Schizosaccharomyces pombe: one gene and its partners. The protein of the gene in region 1 binds, or shares a complex with, the protein of each later gene. Each region holds a gene or a part of one and is shown in the gene's direction. Other genes may lie near its edges. The genes, in order: smn1, gem8, yip12 and yip11.

Region 1 (7,311 bases):
TGAACCAGCAATAACATAGACTAGAAAAAAGTTTACAAAGAGATAAGCATAATTCTTACCAACAGCGTAAATTTCCTCTTCAGCGCGAGAGCTCAGGCCTTGCATAGACGATAACCATCGAAAAAGAAATGGTGAAATGCTGATGAATAGTGAATAAACCAACGTTGGAAGGAAAGTGCGCAACAAAGAATTTAAAAAAGGGAGATCTTCAATCATACGACCAAGTTCCGGCCAGAGTCTTCGAATTGTATCTAAGTTAATAAATACGGCAATGGCTCCCACAGGAACAGTCCATAGCAAGATTATCATAAATGTAACGAGAGTTATGAACCAACCTTGAAAAAACTTATGCCATCTACCGATATAGGTATTATGCCACTGAATATCATTTGCTGCAGGTGCCAGTTCAATATGCAAACCCATCAATGATTTGCTGTCAATATGAGTTTGGGCTACAATTTGCGCAGTCGCCATAGATTCAAACGTTATAAACGCCTGACCTGTGGTAGGATAATCAAAAGAACGAGCATTTTCAATCTGTTGGCTTATTTTATAAAGCTTAGCCGAATAAAAATCGATTGCGTCAATCTTTTGACCAAAAATACCAAAAAAATGAGTTTTTATTAACGGATGGCATTGATGATGTTGCCAAGGAACCTCCAAAAGTTGTTCTGGTGTTGATTCAAGTTCTGCTCTGTTTGGACTAAGATAATTCGAAGGAGGTAAAGTGGAAATTCCAAGCTTTTTGCAGTTACTTAAATAGATAGACCAATATTTTTCTAATTTCTTGACGTATTTACTTTTTTTAGACAGTAATATATCCATGTATGAGTAATTTCGGCATATACTTAAACTGTCTATAGAACCCACATCTAATTTATCAAAATATGCTTTTAAATTTTCCGTTGAACAAAGTTCATTAGGTAAACCAGATATAAAAACGGTTCTGTCCGTCAATCTATTTTGACGAGCCAGATATGATTGACGAATGTCAGCAATCGATTTTGTTGAGGAAAAAAGAACATAAAGAAGAAAAATGGAAATAAAGTAAGTAAAAAGAACGTAAAGATAGAGAAATCCATCACCAGGCTGTGGAAGACCTGGTATATCAGATAAATTACCAATTGGATTAAATAAAGAAGGTCCTAACACACCAACATTTAACTCACTACCATTAGCAATAATAGGAGATTGTACAATTGACTTCTTGACAAGTGGACTTGAGAAGAAATATTCAGATTTGGCAGGCATCGACAAAGTAATATTCCCGAATGCATCTCCACGAAAATGCTTATTGACGGGCATAATAATCAAAACGCCAAGCAGGGAAGCAAAAGAAAGGAATTTTATACCCATTTTAAAAAACAATAAAAAAACGTAGCCGTCCAAACCAGCACAATTTTGCACTACATCATCAGGGATGTTTACTAAATCCATTAACCATTTGTAGTACGATGAAGAAAGTGTAGGTAAATTGAGACCTTCAATGGTAGTTCTAGGGGCATATAGTACTTTCCATCTTTTACGAAAGAAGCAAAAGAATACGCATGCAGAGGCTCCAAGTAAAAAGGCGAGCCAAAATTGAGTTCTTAAATCGCTCGATGGATCTGTTTTCAGCGATGAATCTCGAATCTGTAGGAATTAACACCCGCAGATCGAAGATTCAAACAACGTTAGCAATTTTGTTACAAATGAGGGAAGGATAGGTATACTTACTTTTTCTAGGATCACTGTCGAAAATACCATATCCATTGAAAGCCATTATTGCAAAGTAGCAAACTTAAGGGTCCTTTCGTCAAATTATCGAGGAATGAATGAACGATCGTTTCAGAAAATCGAGAACAAGAAAAATCTGATCTATCCAAGTATTATATGCATGTAAAAAGTAACGGAAAAAGGAAATTATCAAAAGATACACTATTGAAATATGTTATGATAGTTTTTCATGAACGAAAATCTTTAAAATATGAATGTATGTAGAGGAGGGATAGTAGAACGATACTCATCCAATACCCATTCGCATGGTCTTTCAGAATGCGATATGTACTTAACGTAAATTAAGATGACGATGCATAAAAATATGTAACGTAATTACGTGGAGCTACCTTAAATTCAATTAGGTAGTTTAAAATCTATCCCAGAAAGCTAACTTACTGAGAAGTCCTCGCTAAACCATATTAGCGCATGTAGCATTTAATGAATTATTCGTGTGGATATTAGATAACTGATTTAGGTTGATTTTTGTAGCTTATACAATTCCTTTTTCTTTTTGGTATAATAAAGCCAAAATCGTAAACAAAGATGAATTGGAATAAACATTCTTTCACAATACTTCCACGAGTTCACATCGCCATGTGCGAACCTCGTTATATCTTTGACCTCGAATTCTTGTAGTCCTGTCCACTAAGGCGGCTGATAGTTAAGGCAAGGAGCTAAGTTACCACAGCAGATTATAATTGTTGTAGTAAGCGGAATCGCCGAGCTCAAACTGTTTATCGTTATACGCGTTGTGCTTTATAAACAATATTTTCACTTTAATAATATTCAATTAATATAAGAGTTAACAAAGTTGGAAACTACTTGTTAATAAAGCTTTCTTAAGGTACAAAGAAAGACATACAGGAATAGATTATCTACAACTTGTACCAAAAATGGACCAGAGCCAAAAAGAAGTGTGGGATGATTCAGAGCTCAGAAATGCCTTTGAAACCGCTTTACATGAATTCAAAAAGTATCATAGTATTGAAGCAAAGGGAGGAGTATCGGACCCGGATTCTAGGCTAGATGGTGAAAAATTAATTTCAGCTGCACGGACAGAAGAATCAATAAGTAAGCTAGAAGAAGGTGAGCAGATGATAAATCAGCAAACAGAGACGACATTGGAAGGAGATACACATATCCAACAGTTTGCAGATAATAAAGGCCTTAGCGACGAAAAGCCTGAAACAAGGGCAGCAGAGACACATCAAGAGTTTATGGAAGTTCCTCCCCCTATAAGAGGGTTAACATATGGTAAGTAAAAGGTCTTCTAAGAAAATTTATGACTCTCTATTATTAACATAATGATTTAGACGAGACTTACAAAAAGCTTATCATGAGCTGGTACTATGCGGGCTACTATACAGGTTTAGCTGAAGGACTTGCTAAAAGTGAGCAACGTAAAGATTAGCTTCTTGTGCTATTTTTCAAAGTTATGTATATCTTCATTGTTGATGTTGTTATAAAACTGTTATCCTACTTGCTATTGCTAAGATTTATTACTCCTATCAAATAGTTCTATTTCAATTTTCTTTCTAATAAGTAGAATTTATTTGGTCATTTATTAAATCCAATGGAATTTTTAATTGAATCAAAATAATATCATTTTTGCCTAATAGAAATTTTTTCTGAATCAAGTTGCTGAATTTGTTGGGGCATTCTACTCAGCGTTGTTTTTGTCTCTATTGTAGTCATAGTAAAATGCAAACCATTGAAAAATCAATTTATAGGATATGCTATGTTTACACATGTTTTTTAATGAACATTTGAAATTTATAAGTATTTAGTCCTTGATACCATTTATTCTGTTGTTTACATATATGCCTTGACTACTGCTAATCTTGTTACCTTCCATAGTCTTTTAACAACTATCGTTCGTCTCCACGGTGGTGATGTAGTTGTAGAGGGTGCCACAACACTCCCTCCGACAAGCTCCACCACCTACTAGCGATTTACCTATCACTACTACATAACCCGTTTTGAAGCGACACAAAAAGAAAACGTGAAAATTTGTGTCATCTATTAGCAAGAGCTGTCAATGGGTCAGACATTATCAGAGCCAGTCACCGAGAAGCACTCGGTGAACGGGAGCAATGAGTTCGTCCTTTATGGACTTTCAAGCATGCAAGGATGGCGTATCTCAATGGAAGATGCTCATTCTGCTATACTTTCAATGGAGTGCTCTGCAGTAAAAGACCCGGTCGACTTTTTTGCGGTTTATGACGGCCACGGTGGAGACAAAGTCGCGAAATGGTGTGGAAGCAATCTTCCTCAGATTCTTGAAAAGAATCCTGATTTTCAGAAAGGCGATTTTGTTAATGCTTTGAAATCTTCATTTTTAAATGCTGATAAAGCTATTTTGGATGGTAAGTTTGTTGTTAACAATGATAAAGTTGTTTTCATTGATATCATAACCATTTTAAAGTCGCCAAAAAATTGATGAATTTTGTGTTTGAAATTTTTATAGATTTTTTGTTCTTTTGTCTAGTTAATGCTTAGAAAAATTGTTACCAAGATAATAGAAATGTTTACCTCTTGATGTTGAAAAGTTGTTACATTTAGTTTGGTTTCAGAAAAAAAATTTGTCATTTCACTACATTGCATTTTGCTAACTATTTTGACAGATGATCAATTTCATACGGATCCATCAGGTTGCACGGCCACTGTTGTTCTTCGTGTTGGAAATAAACTTTATTGTGTAAGTCTTGGAAGTTGTTTAGTCTTACTAATTGTGTAGGCTAATGCCGGTGACTCAAGAACTGTCCTTGGCAGTAAGGGAATTGCAAAACCTCTATCAGCAGACCATAAGCCTTCAAATGAAGCCGAAAAAGCCCGTATTTGTGCGGCTGGTGGCTTTGTAGACTTTGGCCGTGTAAATGGAAATTTGGCTTTGTCAAGAGCTATCGGTGATTTTGAGTTCAAAAACAGTAATTTAGAACCAGAAAAACAAATAGTTACTGCCTTACCGGATGTTGTTGTACATGAGATTACTGACGATGATGAATTCGTCGTACTCGCTTGTGATGGTATTTGGGATTGCAAGACTTCGCAGCAAGTGATCGAGTTTGTTAGACGTGGCATAGTTGCTGGAACCTCTCTTGAGAAGATTGCTGAAAATTTAATGGATAACTGCATAGCCAGTGACACCGAAACTACCGGCCTTGGTTGTGACAACATGACTGTTTGTATAGTTGCCTTATTGCAAGAAAACGATAAATCAGCATGGTATAAGAAGATTGCAGATAGAGTTGCCGCTAACGACGGACCCTGCGCTCCTCCTGAGTATGCCGAAAATCATGGCCCAGGATGGCGTAGTGGCGATAACAATAAGAAAGTTATTGTCCCACCTAATTTTCATCAAGTAAAGTTAAATGGATCTGATGGATATGACAAAGATGCGAATGAAAATTCTAAGGAAGATGATTCCACCAACGGATCCCTTGCAGCTGGGTTCAGATGGAAAGAACACTTTTTCCCTCATAAAGCCGAGGAGGAAAATTCTTCAAGTGAAACCGATATCGTAAATTCTAACAAAGATGTTGCGGATGATCATAAGGAGGCTGTGTCTGCAGCAGATTGATTATTCCCTACTTCACGCATATTACACAATGTAACTTGCTTTTAGGAATATTCCTCGTAATTAGCATTATTTGTTGACTTATTATAAAAGTCACGCTAGGCGGTTTTGTTTCAACATTTTTTCATGCTTTTCTTTTGTTGTTCGTATAATACGTGCCTGCGACGTATACCGATTACCTCCGAGAATGAAAAGGTTTTTGGTACGTTGCTACTTTGCACTTTTTGATAGCATGCGATTTCTATATCAATTTTGTCGAATACTGTCTTTTATAATCCTGATTCAAAATCAGTTAAGATTATGGAAAATATTTCTCTGGCATGAGTAAACATACCCAGACTAATTTCCGATTGCCCTAATAGATATTGTCGAAGCAATATACATTCCCTTCAATATTCTACTAGTTCCATAATTTACTAAAGTGATTCAACATTTGTGAGTGTAGTCATGATATTATACTTCTTTACAATAATGGTATCATTAAACTAAGCGAAAATAGCTCCTTTATCATATTACTATCCCTCTGCTCCAAAGTCCTTTGTAAATTGTGTGTGCTTTTCTATATCACCAGCATTAAGCGTAGGCTTGACTTTACGAACTGCACTGTAGAAATCTCGAACAGTAAGTTTTGGTTCCATAATGTCTTCAGGATTCACCTCTAGCCAACTAGATTCAAATGCATCAGGATCACCAGGAGAACAAGGAGTTACAAGGGTCCTATTAGACTTGTTATCATATACCTCTTTGAAATGGGTAGCTGTGTGAATTCGTCTTACAGGCTCCATTATTGCATCACGAACAACAATAGAAATATCTGAACCCGAGTAGCCATCGGTCATTTTAGCAAGTTCTTTGAAATCTTGTGAGGTCAGTTCCGAAGGTATTTTACCGACATTAAGCTCGAACATCCGAGCGCGGGCATGAGCATTAGGCAGGGGAATGTAAATACGCTTTTCGAAACGTCGGCGAATAGCAGAATCAAGAGTCCAAGGAATATTCGTGGCACCCAGAACCAGAACTCCACTTTCATCCTTTCCAACTCCATTCATTTGTACCAAAAATTCTGTCTTAATCCTTCGAGAAGATTCACTCTCACCTTCGCTTCTGCTTCCGCACAGTGAATCGATTTCATCAATGAAAATGATAGATGGTTTTTGTTCACGCGCCATTTCAAAAAGTTGACGAACAAGCCTATAATGTTAGTCATGTAAATATTAAAGAGTAAATAGTTTTAACGTAGAATAACAAACCTTTCGCTTTCACCCATCCATTTACTAACTAAATCTGAGGAGCTAATCGAAAAGAAAGTAGAACCAGCTTCAGTAGCGACTGCTTTTGCAAGGTACGATTTACCAGTACCAGGAGGACCATAGAGCAATATTCCTGACCAAGGCTTTCTACCGTGTGAAAATAATTGCGGCAGCTTAATAGGTAGCAAAACTGTCTCTTTCAAAGCTTCTTTTGCGTTTTCTAGTCCCGCTATATCATCCCAACGAACGTTTGGTTTTTCTACTAAAATTGCACTAGTCAATGCACTTCTTAACTTTTTTGCATCAGAGTCTAACGCTTCATTAGCGGTTGGAGAATTGCTCCCCTCTACATTTCCATTAGAGACTCTACTTTTTGAAGAAATTTGATTGTTTTTCTCCTGTAAATAAACCTTGAGCTTCTCCGCTCTATCTAGATATTCGATAACTTTTGAACGAATTATTTCTTTAGATTTTTCATTTTTTTCATCTGAAATATTAGCAAACAATAACTTGAAAATGTAGATCCAAATATAAATTTCCTTATGAATCATTGCGACAATATATCCTCACCCTAATTCAAACTATTGAGTAACTTACATTTTAGGGCCATCATAAAATAATCTAGTGCACTTTGATAATATTTGTAAGCATCAGGATATTGCTCGGCATTGTCATTATCAATAGCAGTTTTTACTAATGAAATTGCTTTCTACAGTAGTTAGAATG
Region 2 (7,110 bases), on another chromosome or scaffold:
ACCATTGTCACTTTGACCAATTGACGACCTAAGCTCGTTTAGCTCAGTTGTTTCTCTAGCTAGTTCTGCGATTTCACGTCTCTCCATTTCGTTTGCAGAAACATTGTCAATGATTCCATCACTTTCTTGATCATTACTAAAAAGTTGGGGGAAGAAATAACTTTTTGCCCAAACTACACAATGAATCGGTTGACTTGGTGTGCTTCGAATGGTACAAACCGGATAAGTTTTAGGAGGCTCTTTGGGATTACAGTCGTAACATTCAGTTTTGCCATGAATGATAACCTGTACCTGGCCAAGAAATCCGGTTGTTCCACTTTCAATCAAAGGTACAGAAGCAAGTAAGCATTGTTTATTCACATGTCTACGAGCATCCAAGTTATCTAGTGCGTTAAAAACAAGATCAAATTGACGAAACCAAGCAACATTAAATCGGTCTTCTTTTATATTTGCATGATAAGCTTCAAGCTTTACATTTGGGTTAAATGAGCTTGCGGTTTTTGCAGCAACGATTGCCTTAGGTTGTTTGACATGCTTTTTACGAAAAAGAAATTGTCTGTTAAGATTAGACAAATCAATAGTATCAAGATCGATCTACAGTATAAGAGTTAATAAATCGCGATAAAAACATGTAGACGAAACGTTTCTTAAGGTTTAAAAAATTTAAATATACAACTCACTTACTATATGAACTTCTTTAACTCCTGACATAAGAAGGTTCTTTAACAATTCACACCCAATTCCACCCGCTCCAACTAAAAGGACCTGACCAATTGTTAAAACCCACCAGTTTTTCTATTACATACCTTGGCAGACTTGAAATTTCGTAAGGCCTCCACAAATGTCAATGGTTTCATATCGTTGCTGAGTTGCATTAGGGTTGGCATGTTAGCAATCGATTCTAATTATGGGCTTAAAAGAAGCGAGAAAAACAATCCCATACAAATAGAATAAATAGCAAGTTCGCCAGCTATTATTAATTTTGAAGTCCCTGCGCGATAAAACTAGAGCATTAATTTATTACACTAAGTTACCTTATTTAATTTTTCTATCCTACAAAAAATTACTTTCATTAGAACTCACAATAAAATAAATAAAGAATAGAGAAGTGCATACTACAAAATATAAAATTGAGTATTCTTTCACTTTGGGCTTGTTGGACAACATATTCGTAGTTACTAATGCCTGTCAAAAAAACGATAAACTTTTTTTTAACAATTGATTTCACATTTTGCTAATGTACTATTTCTTCAAAATCGTGGTAAAAATGTATTTTAACCACAAACATGCGAGTGATAAACAACTTACAAAAGCTTCAGGGCTAAATTTTAAATTGTAAGCAAAATAAATAAAACTGAAACTGGGTTGTATTTCTATGTAAGTGAACCACAACTTATCATATTAGTGAATGCAGAAACATTTTTTTCGTTCTGCAAATTAAGAGTCTTAGGCATTCTCATGCAATAGCACTACGATTTGTTACTGCAGGAAATCCCTTATTAGCGCAAGGCATTCATGTTTAAACAACTCTAATTTTCCAACATTCGTTCACCAGAGATGCGTCGCTTGCCAAGTTGGATCAGATAGAAGGCACTTTCAAGAAAAAAAATAATTCTACGTCTTTTCTTACTCAATTCTATTGCAAAAAAACTCCAAATCCTGGCTCTTAAAAGTATAGTAACAGAATATAGCTAGGCAGAAATGTATGGTAACATGTTACCTTTCAGTAGTGTATTATCAACACCAAATGTATGAGAGGTAGTCTGAGTTCAACGTCTACACTTCGTACAAAATGGTTTCAAGATGGGAGAAATTGAAGAATAATCCTCAAGTAAGATTTTGAAAAAACATTTGGCTGGGCAGGTGTTAACATGATAGACTAAATCAATCGGTATCTCTATCTTCTTGATGATGATCACCAGGGTAATTGATTTCTCAAGACCCTCATTACTTTGGCCTTTGAGGATTCTATACGCTACAGTGAATATAGTTCAAATAGGAATTTTCCTCTACACGAAGATTATTATCGAAAAGAAAAACGGTACGTTGGTTTGGAAGATTGGTTGTTTCGTCTTTCTTAATAAAATGGGTAGATAAACGAATTCAATCTACCATGGTTCATCTATTCTCTAACAATTCTAGATTTAACTGTTTTAAAATATGTTGAACCCGCTACTCCCATGTCTGGACGTGAACATTCAAAATTTGTCGCTACCACCGTGCGTGATTACGATTTGAGCAAACTCTTGACATCTTTTAAACAAATGCTCGTGACAATTGCTACCACTTTGTTCATGCATTTATATATGGGCTACGCTCCTCCTCTTCTCTTACAGTCTGTATCTGCTGCTAGAGGTCTGTTTGATAACAGTGAAGTGCAGATTCACGTTCAAAATAAGCCTGCTATTGATGAGTTGAGACGTCCTTTCAAATCATCTGGTGGCCTTCTTGGTAGTTTTGGTCAAGTTTTGACTGATAAAAAAAGTGTGGATGAAGCTGAATTAACCAAACTCAAGCCCACTTAAAAAATGTGTTGTTAAGTTGTCAGGAATTTTTAATAATTTCTCTTCTTCCACAACACACCTCGTGTTTAAAAATTATAGTGATACGAGTTTTTTTTCGTTGTGATAAATACAATTGTTTACTTTGCAAGTCACTAATTGACCATTCCCATACTTTGCTTAAAATGTAATTATTATTAGAATTTACAAACGAAATATGTGAAATATTAATTTATACTTAAAAGAAGCATAGGTTTTTTTTTCTTTGTAAAACATTAAATTATATCGCGTTTCATTAAAAGCTTCTTAGGCCTAGCACTTGGAACATCTTTAAGCTCTTCTGCTCGTTGTATTCGAAGTTCTTCCGTTCTTCTTGTTGGATCATTTTCAGCCACCAATCGATGCGCAAACCAGTTGCTGTTCGTTTCTGTTATATTTTTTTCGCCAAGCCTATCAAAACATGAAAAGCAACCAGGAACATTGTGTAAGCTGCAAGGTGTGTCTTCTATTTTGCTACCATATTGACTATCCATGACATCTTCATCTTCTGCATTTCGAATCTTGCTTTGAAATGATGAAAGTGCTCGAAGGGTCGACTCTTCGTCATTCTCCAAGTTTTTTCGCTTCCCTAAGACAACTTTTTTGGATTTTTTATACTTTTCAAGTTCCTCAGTCAAGATGTTCCGTTTTTTAGGACGTACAACCACGGGTTTCGAGTTTGAAGAGCCACCACTTTTTTCTAAGTCACGAAGTTCAGACTTCAAACGGGAAATTTCTTCTTGTACCTTGGACTTAGAGGAAGAATTTAACTTTGTATCTAAAGTGTCTACTTGCCTAGCATATTCATCGGAAGAGACTTTAGCAGAGGTCAATCCAGTTTGGGCAGACGAGTAAGTACTGTGAATTGAGGATGAAGATGAAATCAAATCTTTACTTAACTCAGTCGTAGTATCAGATGATCTGGATACTGGCGTTTTCTGCCTGAGCGGCTTTTTTACAATAGGCATATCGACTTCATCGCCAAAACTGAGAACTGCTTTATTTCGTCGTCCGGATTTCAATAATTTGTTTCTTTCTTTCTGTTTTTCCTGGTGGGCTAGCTCATTGGCAATTTTCTCTCTTTCTTCTTTAGTTGAACGAGGTTTTATGTCAGTAAAATAATTGTCAATTACCTCTGTTGAAATTATTTTTGGGGGAAAAACAGGTCGTTGGTTGGCATCTAACTCTAACTCAGATATCCTTACTACATTGTAAATGGTATCCCCTACAACACGTCCAAATAGAGTTTGCTTGCCATTCCATTCAGGTGTTGGACCTAAGGTGATAAAAAATTGAGAGTTGTTTCCCTCATTTTCAGTACATGCCATTCCCACTAATCCTCTTCTTATAAACCGTAACCTAGGATGTGTTTCTACAGCAAAAGGTTCACCATATATAGATTCACCACCCATTCCAGTGCCAGTAGGATCTCCACCCTGTATCAAAAACTCTGGTACAACTCTATGAACAATGGTTCCATCGTAATAACTGTATTTAATTAGTATATTTGTAAACCCGAAGCAGTTTAATGTTGCAACATTTGGGACTACAACGTTGCTCATCAACGATTTAACTTACCCTTCCAAGCATAACTGTATAAAGTTTCTACAGGCCTTCGGCACTTCTTTGCACCAAAGTTCTATCTGGATATCGCCGCGAGTAGTTTTAAGGATGACAGTCCCCCTATAATGTTAGTAAAAGTAACTGGAAATCTGAAAAACATACGTTGCCAAAGGCTCCAAGTTGGTCAAAGTCTGAGAGATTAGTCGAAGGGAGCAAGAAAAATATACTTACGGCCATTCCATAAAGTACATCAAATATTAAGGATCGCTAAATTCTTAAAGAAACTACTCATCTTGTAAGTTTGCGTTGTTAGTATAATCCTAACGTATTACCTTGTTTTGCTTTAATTGGGTTATCAAATTCACTACGATACAGTATTTTAATTTGGGTGATTCATTAAATGTTCTAGCGTAGCTTTGCTCGTTCATCAAATTGATTTCATCGCAACTTGTTACAACTAGCAAAGTAATCCTTACTGAATCCAATATTGTGTAAAACCACGGAACTTTTAATGAGTTCTGAAATTACAGAAGGAGACTTACAGAAATTCCATGATGAGCATTTTAATGCAAAAGCAGTAAACCTATGGAATGTTGCTTTCGCGCAAAACGATCGTGGGGGAAATTCAGAAAGTGCAAACGTTGAGTATACACAAAGTGTAGAGCGCTATCCTGATGGGACTATACGAACGTTAACAGATGAGCAAATTCTTTGGTTCCGTGAATCGGAAAAAAGGGAGTTAATGTGGAAAAAGGAGAAGGAGCAATTGTTAAAAGAAAAAGAATTAAGACAAAAAGCACTGGACAAGGAGAGAATGGTTTCTTCCAAACCAGAAACCAACCCAAAAACACCAATCTCATTAAAAGAATTGAAAGATATCGAAATATATCAAAACCAGTTCCATTACTCGGCTTATGAAATTTTAGAGGAAGAAAAAATACTTGATAATATTTTTCGCAAGTTTACTGCATTACCTATCAAATATTGGCCGGCAACACCAATACGAGGATAGAACGTTTTATGAATTGATGATGTTCAATAGAGTAGAAAAATTTCCTGCATATTAATGAAGGATACGCTTAATATTCAATAAATGTCACCAATCTTCATGAATACATTATACATAAGTATATTGCATTTCTTCTACATTGAACTATGATTAATGATATATACCAATTCCTTAAAATAATTAAGGCTAGTGAAAGAATACGATAATTTTCAATCTAATACTGTTGTATTGTTTTATGCAGGTGCTGTACCTTGTAAAGTGATGAATGATACTACTGTAAACATCTAAATATTGGATAATATTATAATCTCCAAATAGTTTATAGCTGGACGGAAGAACGTAAATCCAGCTATGTTCTTATACGGAACCTAGTAAAATAGACTGGAAAATTATATCTGATAAAACAAAATGATCTCTAGCGTACCATAATATTGGAATTTGAAAGATATAGGATTTTCGATTCGTGATGATATATGTACTGCACAGTCTAGCACTATACTGTACTGATCGTTAAAAGTAGCTGTAAAATTATGTTAATTTTTTATTGTGTACTTCGTTATTTTTCGGAGAACTTCGGATATGTAGTTTCATCAATCGGTGAATTCGGTAAATACAACTAACCTTCTTAGCAAATCACAGCACCCACAAACGCCGCCATTTTTAAACCAGAGGCAGCTTGACGTTTCTTCCCCAACCGCTACCCACCGAATATTTCAACAACCTGTTTCTCTTTAAAACGTTGTAAAAATGCTGGCCAAGCAATTTATTTCTAAGTCGTTAGCATCTTCGTTAAGACGGTTGCTTCCCGTTTCAAGCACTGCTTCGTCGTTGAAGGGCTCAATGATGACCATCCCAAAATTTACCTCTATTCGTACATATACTGACTCTCCGGAAATGCCAGACTTTTCGGAGTATCAAACAAAGAGCACTGGTGATCGTTCTCGTGTTATATCTTATGCCATGGTAGGCACAATGGGTGCTCTTACAGCCGCTGGAGCTCAAGCTACTGTTCATGATTTCTTGGCGAGTTGGTCTGCATCTGCTGATGTGTTGGCTATGTCGAAGGCCGAGGTTGATTTGTCGAAAATTCCAGAGGGAAAGAACCTTGTCGTCAAATGGCAGGGTAAGCCTGTTTTTATCCGTCATCGTACTCCTGAAGAAATCCAAGAAGCCAATTCTGTAGATATTAGCACTCTTAGGGATCCTCAAGCGGACTCTGACCGTGTTCAAAAACCCGAGTGGCTTGTTATGATTGGTGTCTGTACTCATCTTGGTTGTGTACCCATTGGCGAAGCTGGTGACTATGGCGGATGGTTCTGCCCTTGTCACGGTTCTCATTATGATATCTCTGGTCGTATTCGCCGTGGTCCTGCACCTCTTAACTTGGCGATTCCTGCTTATACGTTTGAAGGAAGCAAAATTATCATCGGATAAAATTTATTTCGCTCAAAAACTTTTGTCCTAGCTGATTTCCTCCCTCCTTTTTCTCCCCTCTCTTTTACTTCTTCTTTAGCCTGTTGGGGATCAAGTCATATGCTGTCTTACTTGCTTCTTATTTTTATTTGTCCAATGCACTTTCTCATAGCCTTTGTTGGTCCATTTGGCTTATACAGCAGTCAAGATGGCAATTGCAGACTTCCTTTTTCTTGTTATAGTCATTTACTGATACAAACCCCCTTCTCATTCTCAATTAATGCAACCTTGAATCTCTTATTCCAAGACGTAAATCAATAATTTTGTATGTGACGCCTGATTCATGCAAGTCAGATGGTTCTTATTTTATCGTAGTCTAATGTAACTTTACTTTCCCTTTGGTGGTAGTTTCTTAAACCGCTAAAAATATATATAATCCTTGAGTACTCTTCTTGCCTTCAAGGTTTGTGAAATGCAAAAGTATCCCCTTATACTTGAATAAAAAAGTTGTACAATTCAAATATGTAGTTATTGTAGGTTTATCTGACAAGTATCAATAATAAATAAATATCTAGACAAATAAAC
Region 3 (7,234 bases), 450 kb from region 1:
TAAATCGTTGAAATAACTTGAGGTTCAAGCTTAGGGTGTATTCTTTAGAATGTCGTTGAAAGCACGTCTAATATGTTGCGGCCCTTCAGCATTTTACGAACTTCTATAGAAGAAATAAGCACTATATTTCACTAATGTAAGCTACGCAGTTTGGTATCTGATTTAAGGATACGTAGAACTGCGGTGAGTTTTCCTTGTGGTCTATTATATTACAATACACAGGTTGTATAAGTAGCAACTGAGTATAGGTATTGTATTAACTGAGTTATAATGTTACCTATCACTAATATAGCTCATAACTGAACTGAGGAACGAGGTTCAGTTGTAACGCTATTTATAATATTTCTAAATAGTTGTTATCAACGGGTATCTATGTATATAGACGGATAGTTACCCGTGATTATCAATAAACGGATCTTAGCTAGTATTCCAACATATGACATATAGTGATACGCAACGTAGTGTATCATAGCGTAGTGTACTATTGCTGACAACTAAAGTATTTTGCGAGCGTGCGTTACAACTCTGTAATCATAAGAAATCAACTCGCAATATTAGTCTCAATTGTACACTCTCCAACAACCCACATATCGAAATGGAACAGAAACCGGAAGTTGATTACTCAGAGAAGTTTGCAGAGTTACAAAAAAGTTTAAATAACCTTAATACCATAGACATCGTACGTAAAAATCAAAATTTTGACTAATCTCTAACTTGTAATTGTAGGATGCGAACCTCGAGAAGCTTTTGATTTTTGAGAAGCAAGTTCGTCAGGCTTCTGACACCAGCACGAATACGAAAGTATTAATATACATTGCTGATTTGCTCTTTCGAGCTGGTGATTTCCAAGGCTTAAACGAACAGTTGGTTAGTCTCTTTAAAAAGCATGGCCAACTGAAACAATCGATGACAAGTTTAGTCCAACATGTAATGACCTATCTTCCTGGAATTGACGATTTAAAAACAAAAATTAATTTGATTGAAACATTGCGTACTATTACTGATGGAAAGATATATGTGGAAGTAGAAAGGGCACGTCTTACACAACTGCTTTCCCAGATTAAAGAAGAGCAAGGTGACATCAAATCTGCCCAGGAGATCTTGTGTAATGAACCAGTAGAGACTTACGGATCTTTTGATTTGAAGGAAAAAGTTGCATTCATTTTGGATCAAGTTAGATTATTCTTACTGAGGTCTGATTACTACATGGCATCTACTTACACGAAGAAAATAAATGTTAAGTTTTTTGAAAAGGAAGACGTCCAGTCTTTAAAACTTAAGTATTATGAGCAAAAAATCCGAATTGGTTTGCACGACGATGCATATCTTGATGTTTGTAAATATTATCGAGCAGTTTATGACACCGCCGTGGTTCAAGAGGACCCCGAGAAATGGAAAGAAATATTAGAAAATGTCGTTTGCTTTGCCTTGCTTACTCCTTATGATAACGAGCAGGCAGATCTTCTTCACCGAATTAATGCTGACCATAAACTAAATTCTCTTCCTTTACTCCAACAATTGGTTAAGTGCTTTATTGTCAATGAACTAATGAGATGGCCCAAAATTGCCGAAATCTATGGAAGTGCTTTAAGGAGTAATCCTGTTTTTGCTGAAAATGATGAAAAAGGTGAGAAACGTTGGTCTGAACTTCGTAAGCGAGTCATCGAACACAATATTCGTGTAGTCGCAAACTATTATTCCCGCATTCATTGCAGTCGTCTAGGAGTGTTGTTGGATATGAGTCCTTCCGAAACAGAACAATTTCTTTGCGATCTTATTGCAAAGCATCATTTCTATGCCAAGATTGATCGCCCAGCTCAAGTCATTTCATTCAAGAAATCTCAAAATGTGCAAGAGCAATTGAATGAGTGGGGTTCCAATATTACTGAACTTCTTGGAAAATTGGAAAAGGTAAGACAGCTTATTATAAAAGAAGAAATGATGAATTCTATTCAACAGGCGGTAGCCAAATAAATTGTTCCGTCTCTATTTCATTTCGTTACTTTCATGACTTTGTCATTTAAATAATATACTATTGGTTCAAAGGCCTTCAACTTTTTTTACGAGAATACAATAGTTTTAATGTCGAATTGCAACCTCGGAGAAAGTTATTCTAGTAAGTTTGTAGTGATTTTCGTTGTTATTTGTCTCGTAACTAGAAGGTTAACTTGATGAATTATTTTAAATAAATTATTGTAGTTCACTCAATATGTAGTCCCTTAATTTTTATTTCAGTTGAGTTTAGTTAAAAGATTGCCATTGGTATCATATCTGGCCTCAAAAAAAGTATAGCTTAGAAGAATATCGTCAATATCCTTCATATTTGGATCATCAGCAAATTCTGGATCTATAAAGAAAAACACAGGCAAGTCTACTTTTTCATGAGCATCTAGCTTTTGCTCTTCAAAGCAAAAGCATGCAACCTTTGAGAAGTAAACAGCGGCTTGACCTGGTACTATATTATAAGTTGCAACTCCTACTATGTCATGGTCGGACGTATTTTCAGCAGTATAAAACCCTAGAGCAGTCTCGCCTGGAAGAACATATATTTCACGCTGCTGGGGCCAAAGCTTCCAGCTAAGGTTTCCTGCAACGTCGCCATTGAAAGTAACTCTGATTCTTTTATTGTCTTTACGAGGAACCATTCTTTCTGCATTCATACGACTTTGGTCGGTATTAAGAGTGCCACCATAACCTGTTTTCGAACAGAAAAGACGATATAAAGGTACAGCCGCATATGTCAAGCCCAACGCAAAAATGGAAATTGCAACCAGATAATAGATAGTGGTCCTTTGATTATAGTGGAATTTATCTCTCGAATATTGTCGTGAATATTTCCTGGTACCAGAGATGCAATTGTAACAGCTAAATGAAGTAAAAATACAAGGGAAACGATGTGAATTAAAGTCTGCAAATCGAGAAAAAGCTTTATGACGATTAGTCGAATAGAATCGTTTTCCGACAAAAATAGGATCTGCAGTTGTATTTCTTTCAACTTTGGGTTTATTATATGAGGGGGGATTGATTGAATAGGTAGAAGAAGCATCTTTTAAATGTTTAGTAATTTTACTACTTGGAGAAGTACTTTGAACTTTGCCCTCTAACGGAAACAAGTCGCCCCAAGCACTTTTCCTAGCTAATCGATAAGCTAGTTTACCTTGTGATTTAGGAACAATATTCCTTCTAAGCCGAGCATCGCTATCACAGACATCAATTATGACATGTCCATCTCGCTTCAGTGGAGGTCGAATTATACGTGGCCAGTTTTTAAGAGTTGGAGATGTAACATTCACATTTTCTAGTAAATCCTCATCATTCTTGAACCTTTGTGTGGTATTATTAAGCGGTCTAGTTATACCCTTTTGAATAACAACATAACTGTAATGAGAGCGATCCGAGGATCGACGATGAGAACGAGGGACATATAGACGGGAAAATGGGGATAGGAAAAAATGTTGTTTGAAAGAACAAATATTTGCTCTTACCCCATTTTCTATATCAATGGGGCAGCGACCATCGTGGGGACAGGGTGCTACAATATGGGCATTGAATTGTTTATCAGAAGTATTTTTACTTTTTTGCAATAGAAATGTTCTAGCTCTTTGAATCAAACTAAAGCCACGCTTTGTGCCTCGCTCGCAGAGCACCAAAAGACCACCATCATTTGACACGAGACTCCAAAGCGAACGAAGATAATCAAAGAGTTCTTTCTCCGATTTCATTTCAAGAAGCTTGTTAGATGCAATAACTAGAGTGTATGAATCCTTTTTACCCAATGGTAGACGGTTAAGCGTAACAGGGCTAGTTGGATTCGGCGAAGTTGACGGGTAAATGTTATGGTGAATATCATATATGATTTTTTTCAAAAATGGGTTCTCCTCAACAATTGAAACTGAATTAGGTGTGGGAAAGACTGAATAACTAGCTAGAGCACCAATACCTGGACCTTTACCGCAATCCAGTATATGTTGAGACTTGCAAGACACATCACTGTTTACAATTTTCAAGTCAGTCAATACGCTGTATAGAGAAGCATATTGATACGGCATAGACTGATGAATATAAGCTAAAACTTGGGGATCTGTCATAGTCCGAGTAGATTCATCTTTGAATGGCGCAGACAATGGAAGCTGAGATTCCGTAGCCAAATCTTTTTTAATATCATTAATAAATTTTTTAATTTGTCCTTTTTCGCTCTTTTTCAATAAATCGTCCACATATAGATTAAATTTTGTATGCAAACTAATATCACCACTTTTCTTTTGATCCTTTACCAAAAAGTCGAGTAAACTGGAAGCTTCTGGACGATGTGAAGAGATCAATTCGTTTTTATAATCAGAAAAGTTGTTTTGAACAGCTTGAAAATTTGCATTATACCACCTAATGGTAGTGGTTGTTCCATATGGTATGAGACATCGCTGATTTTGAAAAGTAAAGCAATTCCGTAAATTATAAAGAAACAGAATTTTATATCTGCATGTTAGAATGGGCATATGTGCTGCTCAAAACACCAATTCACCAATGAACAATGGGATTTGGGGATAAAGCACTGATCTGTATATTGTGTAGAGTAAGTGCCTGATTAAGTGGCCGCAGATGGTGTTACTTGCGTTGACAGAAGAATGAATAGTACAATTTCCTACATATCTATATGTTTTATGTTTATTAAATTAGTTCAAGGATAGGCAATTCTGTCTGAGTGAATATTCTCCCAGTTTTAGCTTCTTATACACTTCAAAAAAATGCAAAACTTTGAACTTCTTTGAAAATAAGAACAAGTAATAAATTTTATGATAGTAAAGGAATTATCAAGAAATAGCTAAAATTAGTTTTAGCATTACACTTGATCAAGATAGACTCTTCACATTGATAGTTCTACAGATACCTCTTTAACCTTACCATTCTATTATACTAGGGTAATCTTCGATTTACGAAACATTCCTTGTTAACTAACTACAAACGAAAAGTTGCCGGAAAAAAACAGCCTACATTCCTTGAGTATTTTCATGAAAATTCGGTAATTCTTTTCCATTTGGTTTATATGAGAAGTTTGCAATTGTACAATAATAATTCAAAATGCCCTCGAAAAGAAAAAGAAATCCTTTACAATATCAGACTTCAGGATCATTAGATGAGGAAACAAATCAACGCAGCGCTTTTCCACAAATCGACAACAATAGTGCTTCAGAATCTTTGGAATATGATATACCACTTGATGGTTTAGATTATTTAGCAACTGTGAGGTACGAACATTTATATATGAATTTTTGTGAAAATCGAAATTTGCAACATGAATGCTTTAATCTAATCATTGTAACAATAATTGGGCTTTTTACTGACAAGTTCAGAGAAGAAGCTCGCAAGCTAGTTCCATTTGTAGCGGCGCGTCGTGAGCCTGAAACAAGAGAAACCATTCCTCTTCGCAAATTGGAAATCGAGGCCGGCAAAAAAAGCTTTGACCCGTTTTTACGATACTTACTAAACATAATTGATAAAGAAGGGGAAAGGCTTGAGCAATATATGGAATCTTCTTCATTGGACGCATCTATTTTACCTAAAAATTTACAACAATGGCGTGTATATATTGAGCATAAAGCTCCTTGTTGGGCCATATTAGCAGTGGTTGATTTGGCAACTGTTTTGGAGATCCTAGAAAGCTTGTCCAGCTGGCTTGAAAAGGACGCAATTGATTTACAGGTTGGTAACAAGGATCTCATGCTACTTTGCTGGTGTATTTTTGTTCATTCTAAAATTTGCTAACATTTTTCTAGAGTCAATGGATTTTTTGCTTTTGTTATAAACTTCCTGAGCTTTTGAATGGAGAAGATATATCGACCCTACGTTCAGTACTCAAGTCTTTACGAAGTACGCATACTTCTTTTCCTGCTCTGCAGATGTCAGCATCTGCCCTTCAAGCAGTCTTAGTTTATCGATATGGACAAAAAGATCTCTTTCAAACATAGAGTCTATAAATCTTGGTCGAAAAAAATTTAGGTACACATGTTCATATAGCATACGTTTGTTTATAGGGAAAAAATTAAAATTGATAGCTTGTTTTAAATATGTTTTTAGGATATTATTCCATTAAATAACTGTTTAAAATTTCAGTTTTTATTTGCAAATTTACAGTAAGTACTCAAACTACAAAGATTCTAATGGATCTAGTTCAGTCCTTTCCTTGCTTCAACGCACTTGTCTAAGGAGCTATTCAGTCAATGGATTCGCCTTCATTATTGGAAGTTTTACAAGTTCAACAGGTGGAAAAACTTATATCACCTTCATTAAGGTTTATACTAGCAGTAAGTAAAATAAATAAATGATGATAAATTAATCTCTTTCAGTATTTCACACATCGATATCCAAGATTTTTATTACGGGCATATAATTCTTTTGATGGTATTTATTTATTGGTAAAACTTTTACTTGAGAAATCTCAGCTTAAAAAATGGAATGCTACATCTGTTGAAAGAAGGTTTCAACTCAAACGAGTAATAGCGGTTCGTGACAGTAGTATAATCGCTGAGGAATTCCCACAAGAATCAGAGTCCGCTACTTCGCTCAATGGGATTGACGTGTTAAAAAAGTTGTTTTTAACTTATTGCATACCATATTTGCTTGAAAAGTGCGAATCGTTAACAACGGTTAAAGAAAATCATACTGCCGTTTCTATTCTCTCATTACAGGCTCGTGACAAGCAGAAAGGGGCTTTAAGTGTATTTTATTCGAAAATTAAGATCCTACTTGTCAGGTTGAAGAAAATTTTGCATTTTGTATTTCGTTTGATAAGAAAATCTAATACCTACTTACAGTGGTTGTACTATTTACTTTATGCTTTGGGTAAAACTCCTTATACAAACCTTGCTGATCACATATTAAGACAACGTGTGATTTATAATGTGGAAAATATCCATTCTCGAAAACTAATTTCTACCAGAGAGAAATCTTCTCTATTAACGTCTATTGCCGATCACAGCATGGAAGGATTTTTGATCATTATACAATTGATTGATTGGTGGCAATCTAATAATTATGAATCTCATCTTAAAAAAGGGGAAGTCGCTTTTACTGAATTGGCACCGCCAAAGTTACCTTTTGAGATTAATGTTTCCACTACCGACATTTGTAAAATATGTGGAGAAAAAATAAAAAATCCAGCGGTTTTGTCGACCGGTTTCGTCTTCTGTTACCCATGCATTCAAGTATGGTTACAGCGACATCCATTCAAATGTCCTGT
Region 4 (8,373 bases), 4.1 Mb from region 1:
ATGAGAAATCAAACAAAAAGTCTAGTGCAGCAACAAATAAGCTTATTTTGTGTAGCAAACAAGTAAAAGAAAACAAAAATAGAACAAACAAATAGTGATCAACTTAGAAATCAACAAGAAAAGATGCATACAAATCCAAATTTCCAAGATTTTCGAGGGGCAACTTTCTACCAACAGATTGCAACGTTGATCCTCATCGCAAACAAACTGGCACTACACAACAAAAAGCCAAACTATACAGTCATCCTACAAAACAAAAACTTACCGATGGACCTGGCCAACCCAACAACTTCAGCAATGAATGACTGACTGGATAAGTCAAATTCGAGCCACTATATTTATATCTCTTGGAAGCTTAACGAATTTAACCAACCTGCTGTCAAATGCACAAACCTTCGCTAACCTTGTGAGAGTGGAGATAGCAAAATTTTTTCTTTTATGCCGAGGAGATGCTAATTATGCTGCTATGAAGTCGGTCAAGAGTAAATCTGGTCCTTATATGACGCAAGCTAGATCTAGATTAATGCTATAGGCATACGAAACTTTGGTATTAAAAAAAAAAAAAAAAAAAAAAAAAAAAAAAAAAACTAACTCAGTATAACAATATTGACAATAATAATATACCGAACCTGTGGTGTTTTTCCAGACTTGGCATCATAATAATTGGCCTAATTTTTCTGCAGGTCAAAGGTGCTTTTGGGAAGGGAAGTTCCATTTTCTCTCAATAGGCCACGAACTCGGTCTTTCAATTCCCTGCATTTTTGTATCCGCTATCGCTAATGTGGGTCCAGTAACAAGGGAGTGTGATTTTAGAGTCAGTTAGATGGAAAAGCTATCATTTACTGCCTAAAAGCAGTTCGAAATCTCGGATCTACGAACTAAGAAGCCGAACGGCTCATTCGCGTTATCAACGGGTATCTATGTATATAGACGGATCGTTACCCGTGATTATCAATAAACGGATCTTAGCTAGTATTCCAACATATGACATATAGTGATACGCAACGTAGTGTATCATAGCGTAGAGTAGTATTGCTGACAACTAAAGTATTTTGCGAGCGTGCGGTACAACTCTGTAATCATAAGAAATCAACTCGCAATATTAGTCTCAATTGTACACTCTCCAACAACCCACATATCGAAATGGAACAGAAACCGGAAGTTGATTACTCAGAGAAGTTTGCAGAGTTACAAAAAAGTTTAAATAACCTTAATACCATAGACATCGTACGTAAAAATCAAAATTTTGACTAATCTCTAACTTGTAATTGTAGGATGCGAACCTCGAGAAGCTTTTGATTTTTGAGAAGCAAGTTCGTCAGGCTTCTGACACCAGCACGAATACGAAAGTATTAATATACATTGCTGATTTGCTCTTTCGAGCTGGTGATTTCCAAGGCTTAAACGAACAGTTGGTTAGTCTCTTTAAAAAGCATGGCCAACTGAAACAATCGATGACAAGTTTAGTCCAACATGTAATGACCTATCTTCCTGGAATTGACGATTTAAAAACAAAAATTAATTTGATTGAAACATTGCGTACTATTACTGATGGAAAGATATATGTGGAAGTAGAAAGGGCACGTCTTACACAACTGCTTTCCCAGATTAAAGAAGAGCAAGGTGACATCAAATCTGCCCAGGAGATCTTGTGTAATGAACCAGTAGAGACTTACGGATCTTTTGATTTGAAGGAAAAAGTTGCATTCATTTTGGATCAAGTTAGATTATTCTTACTGAGGTCTGATTACTACATGGCATCTACTTACACGAAGAAAATAAATGTTAAGTTTTTTGAAAAGGAAGACGTCCAGTCTTTAAAACTTAAGTATTATGAGCAAAAAATCCGAATTGGTTTGCACGACGATGCATATCTTGATGTTTGTAAATATTATCGAGCAGTTTATGACACCGCCGTGGTTCAAGAGGACCCCGAGAAATGGAAAGAAATATTAGAAAATGTCGTTTGCTTTGCCTTGCTTACTCCTTATGATAACGAGCAGGCAGATCTTCTTCACCGAATTAATGCTGACCATAAACTAAATTCTCTTCCTTTACTCCAACAATTGGTTAAGTGCTTTATTGTCAATGAACTAATGAGATGGCCCAAAATTGCCGAAATCTATGGAAGTGCTTTAAGGAGTAATCCTGTTTTTGCTGAAAATGACGAAAAAGGTGAGAAACGTTGGTCTGAACTTCGTAAGCGAGTCATCGAACACAATATTCGTGTAGTCGCAAACTATTATTCCCGCATTCATTGCAGTCGTCTAGGAGTGTTGTTGGATATGAGTCCTTCCGAAACAGAACAATTTCTTTGCGACCTTATTGCAAAGCATCATTTCTATGCCAAGATTGATCGCCCAGCTCAAGTCATTTCATTCAAGAAATCTCAAAATGTGCAAGAGCAATTGAATGAGTGGGGTTCCAATATTACTGAACTTCTTGGAAAATTGGAAAAGGTAAGACAGCTTATTATAAAAGAAGAAATGATGAATTCTATTCAACAGGCGGTAGCCAAATAAATTGTTCCGTCTCTATTTCATTTCGTTACTTTCATGACTTTGTCATTTAAATAATATACTATTGGTTCAAAGGCCTTCAACTTTTTTTACGAGAATACAATAGTTTTAATGTCGAATTGCAACCTCGGAGAAAGTTATTCTAGTAAGTTTGTAGTGATTTTCGTTGTTATTTGTCTCGTAACTAGAAGGTTAACTTGATGAATTATTTTAAATAAATTATTGTAGTTCACTCAATATGTAGTCCCTTAATTTTTATTTCAGTTGAGTTTAGTTAAAAGATTGCCATTGGTATCATATCTGGCCTCAAAAAAAGTATAGCTTAGAAGAATATCGTCAATATCCTTCATATTTGGATCATCAGCAAATTCTGGATCTATAAAGAAAAACACAGGCAAGTCTACTTTTTCATGAGCATCTAGCTTTTGCTCTTCAAAGCAAAAGCATGCAACCTTTGAGAAGTAAACAGCGGCTTGACCTGGTACTATATTATAAGTTGCAACTCCTACTATGTCATGGTCGGACGTATTTTCAGCAGTATAAAACCCTAGAGCAGTCTCGCCTGGAAGAACATATATTTCACGCTGCTGGGGCCAAAGCTTCCAGCTAAGGTTTCCTGCAACGTCGCCATTGAAAGTAACTCTGATTCTTTTATTGTCTTTACGAGGAACCATTCTTTCTGCATTCATACGACTTTGGTCGGTATTAAGAGTGCCACCATAACCTGTTTTCGAACAGAAAAGACGATATAAAGGTACAGCCGCATATGTCAAGCCCAACGCAAAAATGGAAATTGCAACCAGATAATAGATAGTGGTCCTTTGATTATAGTGGAATTTATCTCTCGAATATTGTCGTGAAATATTCCTGGTACCAGAGATGCAATTGTAACAGCTAAATGAAGTAAAAATACAAGGGAAACGATGTGAATTAAAGTCTGCAAATCGAGAAAAAGCTTTATGACGATTAGTCGAATAGAATCGTTTTCCGACAAAAATAGGATCTGCAGTTGTATTTCTTTCAACTTTGGGTTTATTATATGAGGGGGGATTGATTGAATAGGTAGAAGAAGCATCTTTTAAATGTTTAGTAATTTTACTACTTGGAGAAGTACTTTGAACTTTGCCCTCTAACGGAAACAAGTCGCCCCAAGCACTTTTCCTAGCTAATCGATAAGCTAGTTTACCTTGTGATTTAGGAACAATATTCCTTCTAAGCCGAGCATCGCTATCACAGACATCAATTATGACATGTCCATCTCGCTTCAGTGGAGGTCGAATTATACGTGGCCAGTTTTTAAGAGTTGGAGATGTAACATTCACATTTTCTAGTAAATCCTCATCATTCTTGAACCTTTGTGTGGTATTATTAAGCGGTCTAGTTATACCCTTTTGAATAACAACATAACTGTAATGAGAGCGATCCGAGGATCGACGATGAGAACGAGGGACATATAGACGGGAAAATGGGGATAGGAAAAAATGTTGTTTGAAAGAACAAATATTTGCTCTTACCCCATTTTCTATATCAATGGGGCAGCGACCATCGTGGGGACAGGGTGCTACAATATGGGCATTGAATTGTTTATCAGAAGTATTTTTACTTTTTTGCAATAGAAATGTTCTAGCTCTTTGAATCAAACTAAAGCCACGCTTTGTGCCTCGCTCGCAGAGCACCAAAAGACCACCATCATTTGACACGAGACTCCAAAGCGAACGAAGATAATCAAAGAGTTCTTTCTCCGATTTCATTTCAAGAAGCTTGTTAGATGCAATAACTAGAGTGTATGAATCCTTTTTACCCAATGGTAGACGGTTAAGCGTAACAGGGCTAGTTGGATTCGGCGAAGTTGACGGGTAAATGTTATGGTGAATATCATATATGATTTTTTTCAAAAATGGGTTCTCCTCAACAATTGAAACTGAATTAGGTGTGGGAAAGACTGAATAACTAGCTAGAGCACCAATACCTGGACCTTTACCGCAATCCAGTATATGTTGAGACTTGCAAGACACATCACTGTTTACAATTTTCAAGTCAGTCAATACGCTGTATAGAGAAGCATATTGATACGGCATAGACTGATGAATATAAGCTAAAACTTGGGGATCTGTCATAGTCCGAGTAGATTCATCTTTGAATGGCGCAGACAATGGAAGCTGAGATTCCGTAGCCAAATCTTTTTTAATATCATTAATAAATTTTTTAATTTGTCCTTTTTCGCTCTTTTTCAATAAATCGTCCACATATAGATTAAATTTTGTATGCAAACTAATATCACCACTTTTCTTTTGATCCTTTACCAAAAAGTCGAGTAAACTGGAAGCTTCTGGACGATGTGAAGAGATCAATTCGTTTTTATAATCAGAAAAGTTGTTTTGAACAGCTTGAAAATTTGCATTATACCACCTAATGGTAGTGGTTGTTCCATATGGTATGAGACATCGCTGATTTTGAAAAGTAAAGCAATTCCGTAAATTATAAAGAAACAGAATTTTATATCTGCATGTTAGAATGGGCATATGTGCTGCTCAAAACACCAATTCACCAATGAACAATGGGATTTGGGGATAAAGCACTGATCTGTATATTGTGTAGAGTAAGTGCCTGATTAAGTGGCCGCAGATGGTGTTACTTGCGTTGACAGAAGAATGAATAGTACAATTTCCTACATATCTATATGTTTTATGTTTATTAAATTAGTTCAAGGATAGGCAATTCTGTCTGAGTGAATATTCTCCCAGTTTTAGCTTCTTATACACTTCAAAAAAATGCAAAACTTTGAACTTCTTTGAAAATAAGAACAAGTAATAAATTTTATGATAGTAAAGGAATTATCAAGAAATAGCTAAAATTAGTTTTAGCATTACACTTGATCAAGATAGACTCTTCACATTGATAGTTCTACAGATACCTCTTTAACCTTACCATTCTATTATACTAGGGTAATCTTCGATTTACGAAACATTCCTTGTTAACTAACTACAAACGAAAAGTTGCCGGAAAAAAACAGCCTACATTCCTTGAGTATTTTCATGAAAATTCGGTAATTCTTTTCCATTTGGTTTATATGAGAAGTTTGCAATTGTACAATAATAATTCAAAATGCCCTCGAAAAGAAAAAGAAATCCTTTACAATATCAGACTTCAGGATCATTAGATGAGGAAACAAATCAACGCAGCGCTTTTCCACAAATCGACAACAATAGTGCTTCAGAATCTTTGGAATATGATATACCACTTGATGGTTTAGATTATTTAGCAACTGTGAGGTACGAACATTTATATATGAATTTTTGTGAAAATCGAAATTTGCAACATGAATGCTTTAATCTAATCATTGTAACAATAATTGGGCTTTTTACTGACAAGTTCAGAGAAGAAGCTCGCAAGCTAGTTCCATTTGTAGCGGCGCGTCGTGAGCCTGAAACAAGAGAAACCATTCCTCTTCGCAAATTGGAAATCGAGGCCGGCAAAAAAAGCTTTGACCCGTTTTTACGATACTTACTAAACATAATTGATAAAGAAGGGGAAAGGCTTGAGCAATATATGGAATCTTCTTCATTGGACGCATCTATTTTACCTAAAAATTTACAACAATGGCGTGTATATATTGAGCATAAAGCTCCTTGTTGGGCCATATTAGCAGTGGTTGATTTGGCAACTGTTTTGGAGATCCTAGAAAGCTTGTCCAGCTGGCTTGAAAAGGACGCAATTGATTTACAGGTTGGTAACAAGGATCTCATGCTACTTTGCTGGTGTATTTTTGTTCATTCTAAAATTTGCTAACATTTTTCTAGAGTCAATGGATTTTTTGCTTTTGTTATAAACTTCCTGAGCTTTTGAATGGAGAAGATATATCGACCCTACGTTCAGTACTCAAGTCTTTACGAAGTACGCATACTTCTTTTCCTGCTCTGCAGATGTCAGCATCTGCCCTTCAAGCAGTCTTAGTTTATCGATATGGACAAAAAGATCTCTTTCAAACATAGAGTCTATAAATCTTGGTCGAAAAAAATTTAGGTACACATGTTCATATAGCATACGTTTGTTTATAGGGAAAAAATTAAAATTGATAGCTTGTTTTAAATATGTTTTTAGGATATTATTACTTTTTTGAATGAAAACATATGCTACACGGATATGCTGGGCTTTGCATCTTTGAACATGTGATTAAGCAAGCTTGGAGATAGCTGCAATAAACAATTTGCCTATTACAAATCGATAGATATATTTTAAAAAAACACGTTTGAATTGAGATAGGCAAAGTTATTTGTTTATTGATTCACATTTTCATTTTACAAAAAATGGCTTACTATTTGTTTAGTACGTGCATTCGTTTTGCTGTCTGCATACTTGTCGAATCGAGGGTTTCAATTATGTTATTACATGATAACTAGCAACTTTCTTTAATTCGCGCCCCATCTTACGAAATTAACTAATAAATTTTTACTGTCTTTTTCGACCGAGTGATTTTTTACCCATATGAGGTTTTTCAAATTCAAAACTAATTGAACATTGCAATTATTCTTTGGGAAAAAACAAAAGTCAAATAAAGATAAAATAAAAAAGAAATAATTACAACCTCACTGCCAAGAACCCCTTCGTGGTTAATTGAATCTTTTGAGTTCGAGCAATCAAGCTCCTTTTGTAAAACTAAATGTCACTAAAATTGCTCACACTTCAGTATAGCAGTCTAAATGGAGAGCTCAATTTTTTCCTTGCTGATAAGCGGACTCTGATCTCGCTACGTGAATACTTTCTTTCCTTCGACTAAACGTCAACTTGTCGAGACTTTGATGAAATAGTGGCAGTTAAAGCCAGAAAGCTACTGAATGTTAATTCATTTCTTCTATAGTTGCCATGTACTAAGAATCACGCCTAAAGCAATTTTCCCTAATAAATTCCGATGCTAAACATCCCTTAAATTACAAAGTTTTGTCAAACGATGGAGCAATCGTCGCTTAAAAAGCGCAATTTCAAAGGCATGCATTTCAACTTGCTTTGACCATGCTCTCCCAAATTTTGAACGAATATTTATTTATTAAAAAATTTACGCTACTTGAGCTATTCAGAACAATCAATAATACATATCTAATACATTTCTCTTGCTTTTCAACTATATAACGAGGCTTTCCTTCTCGTTATTAAACTTATCGCAAACTACGATAGGAAAATAAGATTATTTGAGAATTATTTTTCACTATACGATATAGCACACATTACGCCGTTTGGATATTGAATGTGTTTACGCTTAAAAAAGTTTATCCTTTGCAACTAACATTGTAATTGTGGTAAACGGGTTTGTTTGAAGTGACGGACAATGGGAAGAGTTGCCAGAAAAAGAAAGCATCATAGCAATGGAAATCATGCTTTGTTTAGAACTCGTGTTTATGGGAGGTATGCAAATTTCATGGTCATTCAATCATCGTTTGGTAAATTAACAATTGGACAAATAGAGACTTAGATCAGATTCACAATGACTTAACAGAGTCTGAGAAATTTGATAAATTACCTATAGATCCGGATTTGCCAGGTTTAGGTCAACATTATTGCATTGAATGTGCACGGTACTTTGACTCGTCTCAAGCATTGCTGGTGCATAAGAAGGGAAAGGTTCACAAACGAAGGTTAAAAAATTTGCGTGAAGAGCCGTATACACAAGAAGAAGCAGAAGCTGCGGTGAATATTGGACAGCCAAAACAGAGTGTAGCTTCCAAGCTTGCTGACAATAGTAACGTTGTCATGGCGGACTAAACTAGAGACACATTTACGAATGCTAAGTTAGTCAGCACTTTTGCTTTTGTTCCATATTCGTAGCGCATGCTCTTTATTTAAACAGATTTTTATATGT

The links.
Region 2: smn1 (region 1) and gem8 share a complex: the UniProt entries of both Schizosaccharomyces pombe proteins name them as parts of the core SMN complex.
Region 3: smn1 (region 1) and yip12 share a complex: the UniProt entries of both Schizosaccharomyces pombe proteins name them as parts of the core SMN complex.
Region 4: smn1 (region 1) and yip11 share a complex: the UniProt entries of both Schizosaccharomyces pombe proteins name them as parts of the core SMN complex.

Annotation. Positions count from the first base shown.
Region 1 is NC_003424.3:818,190-825,500, reverse strand, and holds smn1 (SMN complex subunit Smn1/Gem1), read left to right. Parts: upstream 1-2,546; 5' UTR 2,547-2,651; coding exon 2,652-3,012; exon of another isoform or gene 3,013-3,071; coding exon 3,072-3,169; 3' UTR 3,170-3,409; downstream 3,410-7,311. Other genes in the region: SPOM_SPAC2G11.09 (Ca(2+) transporter), read right to left, coding at 1-1,607, 1,717-1,762; protein phosphatase PP2C catalytic subunit Ptc3, read left to right, coding at 3,797-4,124, 4,383-4,456, 4,496-5,338; AAA family ATPase Vps4, read right to left, coding at 5,851-6,526, 6,586-7,072, 7,183-7,294. UniProt on the Schizosaccharomyces pombe protein: The SMN complex catalyzes the assembly of small nuclear ribonucleoproteins (snRNPs), the building blocks of the spliceosome, and thereby plays an important role in the splicing of cellular pre-mRNAs.
Region 2 is NC_003423.3:2,288,808-2,295,917, reverse strand, and holds gem8 (protein gem8), read left to right. Parts: upstream 1-4,577; 5' UTR 4,578-4,614; coding exon 4,615-5,115; 3' UTR 5,116-5,323; downstream 5,324-7,110. Other genes in the region: SUMO E1-like activator enzyme Uba2, read right to left, coding at 1-594, 685-765, 807-887; snd301 (pho88 family protein), read left to right, coding at 1,793-1,831, 1,879-2,041, 2,143-2,525; cyclophilin family peptidyl-prolyl cis-trans isomerase Cyp7, read right to left, coding at 2,777-4,028, 4,119-4,223, 4,266-4,294, 4,335-4,340; Rieske iron-sulfur protein, ubiquinol-cytochrome-c reductase complex subunit 5, Rip1, read left to right, coding at 5,860-6,546. UniProt on the Schizosaccharomyces pombe protein: The SMN complex catalyzes the assembly of small nuclear ribonucleoproteins (snRNPs), the building blocks of the spliceosome, and thereby plays an important role in the splicing of cellular pre-mRNAs.
Region 3 is NC_003424.3:1,265,674-1,272,907, forward strand, and holds yip12 (SMN complex subunit Yip12/Gem2), read left to right. Parts: upstream 1-5,076; coding exon 5,077-5,243; exon of another isoform or gene 5,244-5,348; coding exon 5,349-5,697; exon of another isoform or gene 5,698-5,771; coding exon 5,772-5,963; 3' UTR 5,964-6,073; downstream 6,074-7,234. Other genes in the region: 19S proteasome regulatory subunit Rpn501, read left to right, coding at 596-679, 727-1,974; rsm22-cox11 tandem protein cox1101, read right to left, coding at 2,232-4,493; pex12 (ubiquitin-protein ligase E3), read left to right, coding at 6,216-6,299, 6,342-7,234. UniProt on the Schizosaccharomyces pombe protein: The SMN complex catalyzes the assembly of small nuclear ribonucleoproteins (snRNPs), the building blocks of the spliceosome, and thereby plays an important role in the splicing of cellular pre-mRNAs.
Region 4 is NC_003424.3:4,903,646-4,912,018, reverse strand, and holds yip11 (SMN complex subunit Yip11/Gem2), read left to right. Parts: upstream 1-5,624; coding exon 5,625-5,791; exon of another isoform or gene 5,792-5,896; coding exon 5,897-6,245; exon of another isoform or gene 6,246-6,319; coding exon 6,320-6,511; 3' UTR 6,512-7,798; downstream 7,799-8,373. Other genes in the region: 19S proteasome regulatory subunit Rpn502, read left to right, coding at 1,144-1,227, 1,275-2,522; rsm22-cox11 tandem protein cox1102, read right to left, coding at 2,780-5,041; bud20 (zinc finger ribosome biogenesis protein), read left to right, coding at 7,843-7,919, 7,979-8,276. UniProt on the Schizosaccharomyces pombe protein: The SMN complex catalyzes the assembly of small nuclear ribonucleoproteins (snRNPs), the building blocks of the spliceosome, and thereby plays an important role in the splicing of cellular pre-mRNAs.